Oryzias latipes: one gene and its partner. The main gene of each other region encodes a partner of the protein of the gene in region 2 in a complex. Links are inferred from orthologs where the notes say so. Each region holds a gene or a part of one and is shown on either strand. Other genes may lie near its edges.

The links. The genes of interacting proteins can lie anywhere in the genome.
Region 1: med8 (region 2) and med31 share a complex: the UniProt entries of both Homo sapiens proteins name them as parts of the mediator complex. The link is inferred for Oryzias latipes from reciprocal best matches to the Homo sapiens genes MED8 and MED31.

What each region holds. Positions count from the first base shown.
Region 1 is NC_019872.2:23,702,718-23,706,882, reverse strand, and holds the start of med31 (mediator of RNA polymerase II transcription subunit 31), read right to left. Parts: upstream 2,904-4,165; 5' UTR 2,721-2,903; coding exon 2,711-2,720; intron 1,096-2,710; coding exon 1,021-1,095; intron 1-1,020. UniProt on the Homo sapiens protein: Component of the Mediator complex, a coactivator involved in the regulated transcription of nearly all RNA polymerase II-dependent genes.
Region 2 is NC_019862.2:24,740,952-24,745,083, forward strand, and holds med8 (mediator of RNA polymerase II transcription subunit 8), read left to right. Parts: upstream 1-1,317; 5' UTR 1,318-1,410; coding exon 1,411-1,416; intron 1,417-1,548; coding exon 1,549-1,670; intron 1,671-2,698; coding exon 2,699-2,843; intron 2,844-2,926; coding exon 2,927-3,067; intron 3,068-3,145; coding exon 3,146-3,233; intron 3,234-3,304; coding exon 3,305-3,544; intron 3,545-3,620; coding exon 3,621-3,691; 3' UTR 3,692-3,865; downstream 3,866-4,132. UniProt on the Homo sapiens protein: Component of the Mediator complex, a coactivator involved in the regulated transcription of nearly all RNA polymerase II-dependent genes.

The sequences.
Region 1 (4,165 bases), on a different chromosome or scaffold from region 2:
TTTGTGCAAAGTCCTTCACAGCTGTGAATCCCCTGAGCTACCCCCCCCCCCTTTACGGAGTGCATCGAGCGCCATCTCATATTGACCAGAGACACAGTCATGTGTAGCTTACAGTTAACAATAAAGTAAGAAAGGCTGAATTAATACTTTAAAAAAAAAAACAACTCCCAGGAAGGATCCGGGTCGTGTCTTTCACACCAAAGAGCCGACTTTAAGGTTGTTTCACTTGCTACTGACACATCAGTACACGAGTCTCTGCTCTGCTGCTCACCTGCTGCTCCTCAGGGATAACAAGACTCCTTGCAGGATCTCTTTTTGTCTTTTTCATCTTTGAGCCAGTTTGGAAAGCAAAGCGACTGCAGCAATGAGGGGATGTCTGTACTTTGACCGATCCCCCATGCTGCTATGTGCCAGTAATTCCGTCTTTTTTTATAATTAGTCTCTGTTTCATTTCAATTAACAGAGAAAAAGTCAAAGCCTGCAAAATCTAAGTAACAAAGTAACAAGGGTTTCTATAGTCCAGTAACTGTAATTCATTACAGAATATGAGCTGTAATTTGTTATGTTCTACCGTTACTGACAAAAGTAATTAAATTACAGTAATTTGTTACTTTGTAATCCATTACCCCAACACTGAGCAACATACAGAAGTGAGGATATTTATCAGTTTAAACAAACACATTTCTGTCTTTAATGAAGAAAGGTCAGGAAAAAAAAAAAAAAAAAACTAAATGAGTAAAATAGGTGAATCTGATCTTTAATGTGATACATAATATGGAAAAACATGAAAATTGGAGTAATATTTTTGGCTTTTCAGAGCTTTTTGTTCCTTCTTTTCATTGGGCAGTCATAAAAACAGGTTTTCATGGAATATTCGTGTTGAGGCCTTGCAGGGCTTCAGATTATTGAAGGATTTCAAGCCTCCAACCAAACGAACTTCCAGTTAAGGAATGTAGTTTCTGGCTTCACTTTTCAGGGAAGTTAAAGAACAAATGTTAAAGAAAAGATGAAGAGACTTACAGTTCAGGTAGTACGGATTTGCCAAACACTGCACAAACTCCAGCTCGGCCTGGAAGCGGTGCCGGGCCTGCTCATCTGGACCAGAAAAGACAGCATCACACAAAAGTAAAAAACACTGCGAATTCTGAAACAATAAGCAGTTTGGGCCTGACGACCTGCTGCAGTTATTATTATTATTATTTTTTTGCTGCTCTGATATTTCCATGATTCGTGTGTTATGCTAACACTGTAAATGAGTTTTATTTCCCCAAACACATTTCCTGTGTTAGACCAGTGGACTGGGTGATAAGTTAGAAACTATATAAGCGCGACGCAAGAACTGGTTTATTGTCAGACTACATTTTCACAAACGAGCCTCTGAGGTTCGGCTACTAAATACAACCAAACAAAAAGATGCGACCGACAAAAACGTCTGACTAAAGTAAATGTGAGTTCAACCAGTACACAATTTTACTAGCAGTGTCCTGAAAACCTTAGAGGGTCAGTCACCGCACAGTGAGTGCGGGAACAACTGTCACCAGAAATCTATGTTTTGAGTAGAACTCCTGGTTCCATGTTGGGGTGGAATCTCAGTCATTCAGGTCATGATAAAATGAAAAGTTCCAAAAGTATTCAACTGGACAAAGTTTCTGGTTTGAAGACGTTTCGCCTCTCACCCGAGCAGTTTCTTCAGTTCTGTCCAACTGGTGCTGAGCTAGAGATTTACATCCTCCTCGCTGGAGTCCTTTGATGGCCAACCAAACCCCCCAGTGACTGATTCGTTGACCCCTGTGTCCCGGTTGTGTCTATCTCTTCCTTTTCCTCACTGACGGTGCTTTCTGCCCAGAGAAACCTTTAAGAGGGCCTGACGCTTGTTTGTGTAATATTCAATAGAATGAGGGTTTTTATTTAGCGTTGTAGTAATGTGCGTTAGCAGCTGAAGGTGGGTAAAATGCCTGACTGAGGCAAACATCAAGCGTCACAGACAGATGTGGAGCAGTGGACGTCGTTTTTCAAAATAAAACCTTCATAAACACCTGATTAACAGAAAAAAGGAAGAGTGGTACCGATATGGAGCTGGAGACCACTGTCCCCGGTGAATCATTGAGTTAATGGGGTAGTTAAGGTAGTATGTCTGATAAAATCTCACATTTACAAAGTTATTCAAACCTGATAGAGCTTTATTAAACCCACGTGAACTAGTGTGTTGTCCTTATGTCGGTCTTTGGTTTATTTATTGGTTAAAGAGAGTTAGCAGTTTGCTAAAATTAGCCCAACGTTTTTGAAATTATGAATTATATGCAGTCTGAAGATCTTACTTATTCCTGCTCAAGCGACCTGTACTAGTATGTCGGGGTTTACTTTGGCTTCTTTATGAAAAATGTGTCAAGATGGACGAGCTTCATATTCTATCTTTTTAAACTTTCTCATAAATGTCATATTACTTATTTTACGGACTACAGCGAAAAAATCCCCGCGTTAATCGCCGACATTATTAATTTATTATTTACGAAAAATTTTCGGCTTGTTGTACGCACGAACTCAGGTTAATAAAAGCATCAACACAGCTTTAAGTCTTTTACAAAAGTTAGAAATACACAGTTTCTCAAATGTCAAATAAAAACACAAGAATAATGAAGACATTCATCATCCTCCCATATAGTTAGACTTAGAAGAACCAAAGCTAACAAAAATAGGTTTAGCTACAAACCTGTTTCCATGGTATCGACCCGAACAGTAACTATTTACTGTCCACAAACTGAGCAGGGCTTCCAGAAAGAGCAGAAAATCCTTATATGTGTTTAAATGTTTAACAAATCTTCAGTCCAGCTGCTTTTGTTTAGCTTTCATCAGCCGTAAGTGAACTACTCGGGCAAAACCACTTCCGACTTTGCGACACCTGCTATCTACTTTACGGCTTTTTTTCTTTTGCAACAAAACTTTGTTGTTCAGCACACGGACAACAAAAACTGAGACAGAAAATACCCAACACAAATAAAAAATACTTGTTAATCATACTTTTGGTTATATAGTGTTTGAAGTCTGAAGAAATAAACATTAAATGTCATCATGAAACAGAAATAATTTGAACAGTGAATAAAAAACGTCCATGTTTATTTGAGTCTTTGTTATTTATTGGAAAAACACAGAAATTAAATGATCAAAAAGCAGTAAACGGAAAATGTTTTGTTATTTTTCATCCAGTCTGATGTTAATGTTTTTCTCTGAACACTGAAAAATATGAGAATATGCAAAAACTTTAGGTAATCAAAATGTTTCACACTTGATTCATAGGATTTCTGATCTTGTAGTTCAGCATCTGGCCGTATGATTGCTGTATGAATGATTGTGGCGCTCCATGTATGTATGTATGATTGTGGCCCATGTGTGATTGTGGCGCTCCACAATCTTACTAGGCTGTGCTTTTCCTGCCAGCATCTTACACCCTGCAGTTATGTGCTGGATTGTTTCAGGCGCCTCTTTGCACAGCCTACACCTTGGGTCTTGTCTGGTGTGGTAGATCTGAGCCTCCATTGCTCTGGTGTTCAGGGTTTGTTCCTGGGCTGCCAGGATGAGTGCTTCAGTGCTGTCCTGTAGGCCAGCCCTTTCTAGCCATTGGTAGCACTTCTTGATATCAGCAGCTTCAGTTATGGTCCGGTTTGTCCTCCCATGAGGATTTGTCCTCTAGCACTGCATCCCTCTCCGTTGCCTGAGACATTCACTGAACACACTGTCAGTTGGGGCCTTGAGTTTGATGTATTTGTGTGCAGCAGGAAGAAAGAAATAAGAAAGTGCACTCGCTGTAGTTAAACACAGTGACGTATGCTTCAGAGGACGTTCAATTGGCTGTTCTGCATGTCAATCAAGTGACATCTTTCCTGCCGAGGATGATGATTCACTGACAGATTTTTAAAAAATATATTTTGATATTTATTTCTTATTTTTGATGACCTGCAATCTACAGTTCCATCCTTCGTGATCGACATAATGAGCACCCCTGACCTAAAGGATTTGAATGTGGACCATAAAATAACACTCTTTACATGTTTGAGTGATAAAGTTTTATTATCAACAAGTAAAAGGAGTTAGCAACAGGTTTGTAAAAAACAGGAAGATACATATGTACACAACACACACATACGTGCATACACAAACACACACACAC
Region 2 (4,132 bases):
ATGTCAGGTGGGGTCTTGTAAAAAAAACAAAAAAAAACAAGAGGCTTCTTGAGGAAAAATGGTGAAACCGAGTTCTTGATCTGTGCAGGCTTTGGCAGAGAGAACGGCCAGGTGACCATCGAGTACTACTCCCAGCTGAAGACGGTGGTGGTGGAAACAGGCGATGTGGAAAACTACTTCTAGAGTTTCCGTTTTACACTCATTTCAGAGCAATAAACGAAACTGTGCAGACCTGTTGAATGTGGATGTCCTATTTGAACTTTTCTGGAGTGTCTTTTATTAACTCTTAAGTGTGTATGAACAGCTGGCATGATTCTTCAGGCTAATTTATTTTGTCACGTTGGACATTTGCTCATGCAAACATTATCTGAACTCTGATCCTGAAGTAAAAATAGCAGTTGCATATAGAGTTTACACTGCTAGAAACATTGATCCATCTTCTAAACCACCTTTATTCATGTATATAAAAAAAAAGTATGCTGGGTGTCCTAGAGCCCACCCAGCTACTGAAAGGCAAAGGTGGGATACACCCTGGGCAGTTCACCAGACCACTGCTGGGTCAAATGGTGTTAGGATTCAGTCTAAGAGACACTTTTGAGGTCTTAGGTCAGAGAGCTCTTCTCCAAGGTTGCACCAAACAATCAGGTCTCTGTTTTTATAAGGCTTGTATTTTAGTCTGATGCCTGGACCGGTGAATGTTAATAATAAAGCCGAACTAAATAGATAATGTTGATGACTCATAAACTTGAAAAGAACTGATTTTGTAATGGTTGGCCAAGATTCTGGGACATTTGGAGCTTCCACTAAAGATAACCAGAACAATATACAGCTTGTTACAGAAGACCCATGATCACACACAGAAACAAAAACACTAAACATATCATTTGTTTTTAATAAATACCAGGAAGACTAAATTGTTTCTGCTCTGAGCTTTTATCTCTGTCTCCCTGTAAGCTGCACCTTCTCTGTGCTTCCTTCACAACTGTCTGCAGGACTCATCCTCTGATTCTGCTCTCAGCTCTTCAATTTCACTTTGGTTGCTGCAATTTCTCATTTTTTTTTAGTCAACACCATCGTTGATTCTCTATTTTAAAAAAGTCAGTATAGACTGGATTAATGACTCTGACGGGACAGTTCTAGTACATTATTTTGGCCTGGAACAGAGAATTTGGACGAAAGAAAACAATATTAAAGGGTGCAAAACCCTCAGAAACAAATATTTATTGAACAATAAATAAAAAAAGAAAAGAAAAAAACAAGAGGATGGGTGGTATGGGTACCTGCTGTAGCCACAAGGGAGCACAAACACACCGTCAGATTTGACCAGAGAAGAAGAAGCATCTCTTTTTTTTGGAAAGCGCAAAGCGGAAGTACAACCTAGAAGACTTCCGGGTCGCTGACAGATCAACAATGCAAGTGAGTCTGAAATAATTTCACTCGGTTGTCTGTGATTCTTCTGACCTACTGTGGACGATACTTTGGACTGATGCTAGCTCGGGCGCTGTGTAATCTGTCCGGGCCTCTCTGCTCGTCCTTTTTGTGTTTCAGCAGCGGGAGGAGAAGCAGCTGGAGACGGCGGTGGAGTCTCTCATCTCCCGGGTGGCTCACGTTAAAAACGCCCTGAGCAGCTTCATCTACAAGCTGGAGAATGAGTACGAACGTCTGACATGGTGGGTCCTCCTGCCCTTATGACGTAACGTATCCCCCCTCCTTTGATTATGATAAATAAAAGCCTGGAAACATGCGAAGTTAACAAGTGAGTGCATATCGTGCGTGTGCATGTGTGCGCGAGCGCACTTAGACTATAAATCTTTGTTGATCCCACAAAAGGGGAAATTACCTTGTTGTTGCCATAGCTCCAATAAAACATCAGATATATATTAATAACACTAAAAATACACTTAAACAATTAACAGCAATCATTTTTGTCCAATGTCTATAAGGCATTGCAGAGTCTAATAGCTGACGGGAAGAAAGATCTGGGAAAGTGCTCCTTCCTGCAACAAGGTGTAAAGGAGCTGCTCAGTACACCCATACAAAGGATGATGATGATGATGAAGAAGAGGAGTGTCCATGATGGAGTTCAGTTTCTGTAACATTTTACTCTCACCCACCACAGTTACCGATTCTAGGAGACATCCCAGAACGTAGCCGGATCTCCGCTCCAGTTTGTTGATCCTCTTCTTGTTCCTGTTTGTGCATTCACACCTCCAGCAGCTCAAACCATAGAAGAGGGCAGACGCAACAATGCCATCATTAAAAAGAGTCCTGAAAACTCAGGAGAACCCCAGTCTCCTCAGTATCTCCTGCGATCTGGGATTGCTTCTCCAGCGGCATGTTGTTGTTGCCAAGCAACAACAGCTGACCGTGTAGACGATGTACCCACAGACCGCTTCAGACCCAGAAAGTGGGGGATAAATAGTCCAAAGGACTAGCAGGCACGCCACTGCACTTGTGTAAAAAACAACAATTCTGTCAAAAAACAGAATAATAATTAGAGAAAAAAAAAAACGAAACTAAAGAAAAACAAGCAAGCCAACACAGATCTATGGTAACTGCCAGCTTGTTGTAGCATTGGTGTCTGTATTTGCGTGCGTGTATTTGTACGTGTGCATGCGTCTTTTAGAAAGTGTTTGTGTCTCCATGTTTACCTGCAAAAGTTTTCTCACCCCCCTCTCAAATCTTTCCTGTCCCTCAGGCCATCTGTTTTGGACAACTTTGCTCTCCTCTCGGGTCAGCTGAACACCATCAACAAGCTGCTGAGGAACGAGAAGACCCCAGCTTTCCGGAGTCAGGTCATCATCCCGCTGCTCCTGTCTCCTGACCGGGATGAGGATTTAGCTGTGAGTGTCGCCGCAACATTTGCAGGCTGTCCTGTGTGGTGAAAGACCTCTAACTATCCTGTCCACCCCCACACCCCCCTCAGAAACTCACAGAGCAACGCGTCCCGGTGTTCAGTCACGAGATTGTGCCAGATCACTTGAGGACCAAGCCTGACCCCGAGGTGGAAGAGCAGGAGAAGCAGCTGAGTGCAGAGGCGGTCAGGATTGGTCCTGAGTTGGCTCAGGTCAGGAGGCGCATGGATGTTTGTTATCTGTTGTCTGTGCTCAGAAGGTGTTTAGTGTTTGTCTGTGCTAATCCACAGAAGCATATCCAGGCTCTGAACAAGCTGTGTTCCAACCTTCTGGAGAAGCTGAACAACCCTCGAGAGGACAGAGAGGGAGATGCTTCTGGTGGGTCGCTCGTTTGTGTAAATCCCTTGTTGTCCTTATTGTAGAAAGAGCTGAGTGTGTTTATCTTCCAGCAGTGCGGCAGAACAAAGCGTCCTTCAACCCCACAGACACCAGTGCCTTGGTAGCAGCTGTGGCTTTTGGGAAGGGACTCTCCAAGTGTAGACCTCCTGGCCCTGTGGCCCCTGGCCACCCAGGGCAGGGGCCCATGATGAGCGGAGGTCCAACGTTACAGCAGGTCACTATTGGTGGCGGGTCAAACCAGCAAGCAGGTATGGGAGGGCCTGGGGCCCCCCAGCAGCAAGGTCAGCCAGGTAGGAAACTGTACTGGTAAAATGTATTAAGTTTTTTGTATTGGAGACACATTTTTATTTCTTTATTTTTGTCCAGGAAAAATGCCAAGCAGCATCAAGACAAACATCAAGTCTGCATCGGGTTCCATTCACCCTTACAACCGGTGATCTCCCCCGCCCGCCTCTTTACTGCTCAGATGCAGGAACATCAGTCTGTTACTGGGTCCACCTTCACGTCCCCCTTTGAAGCTCTCTATACAGCCACTAGGTGGCAGCATGGGATCCTTTATGGCTAAATCTTAACAGCACAATGACATGTTTTCAATAAAACCCAGAAAAGCAGCTTGGTTTGTGTGGCCTTTATTATACAAGTGTCTTTCTCTTGTTTCTGCACTGAAACGACGTGAAAAAACCTGAGCTCCGCTCTTCTGAGTCTGTGTTGCAGCGCTGAGCCTGATGGGGGTGGACGTTGTGTCACAACTTTTAAGGGAGAACGCGAGGAACTATTGCTGTTGACAATGGTGGTGGTGGGGGTTTTATTCCTGTCTGAGTGTTGGCCCTCTGTCTGCTCTGATCCTGTCTGGCTGTATGACCTACATCCACCCTCCG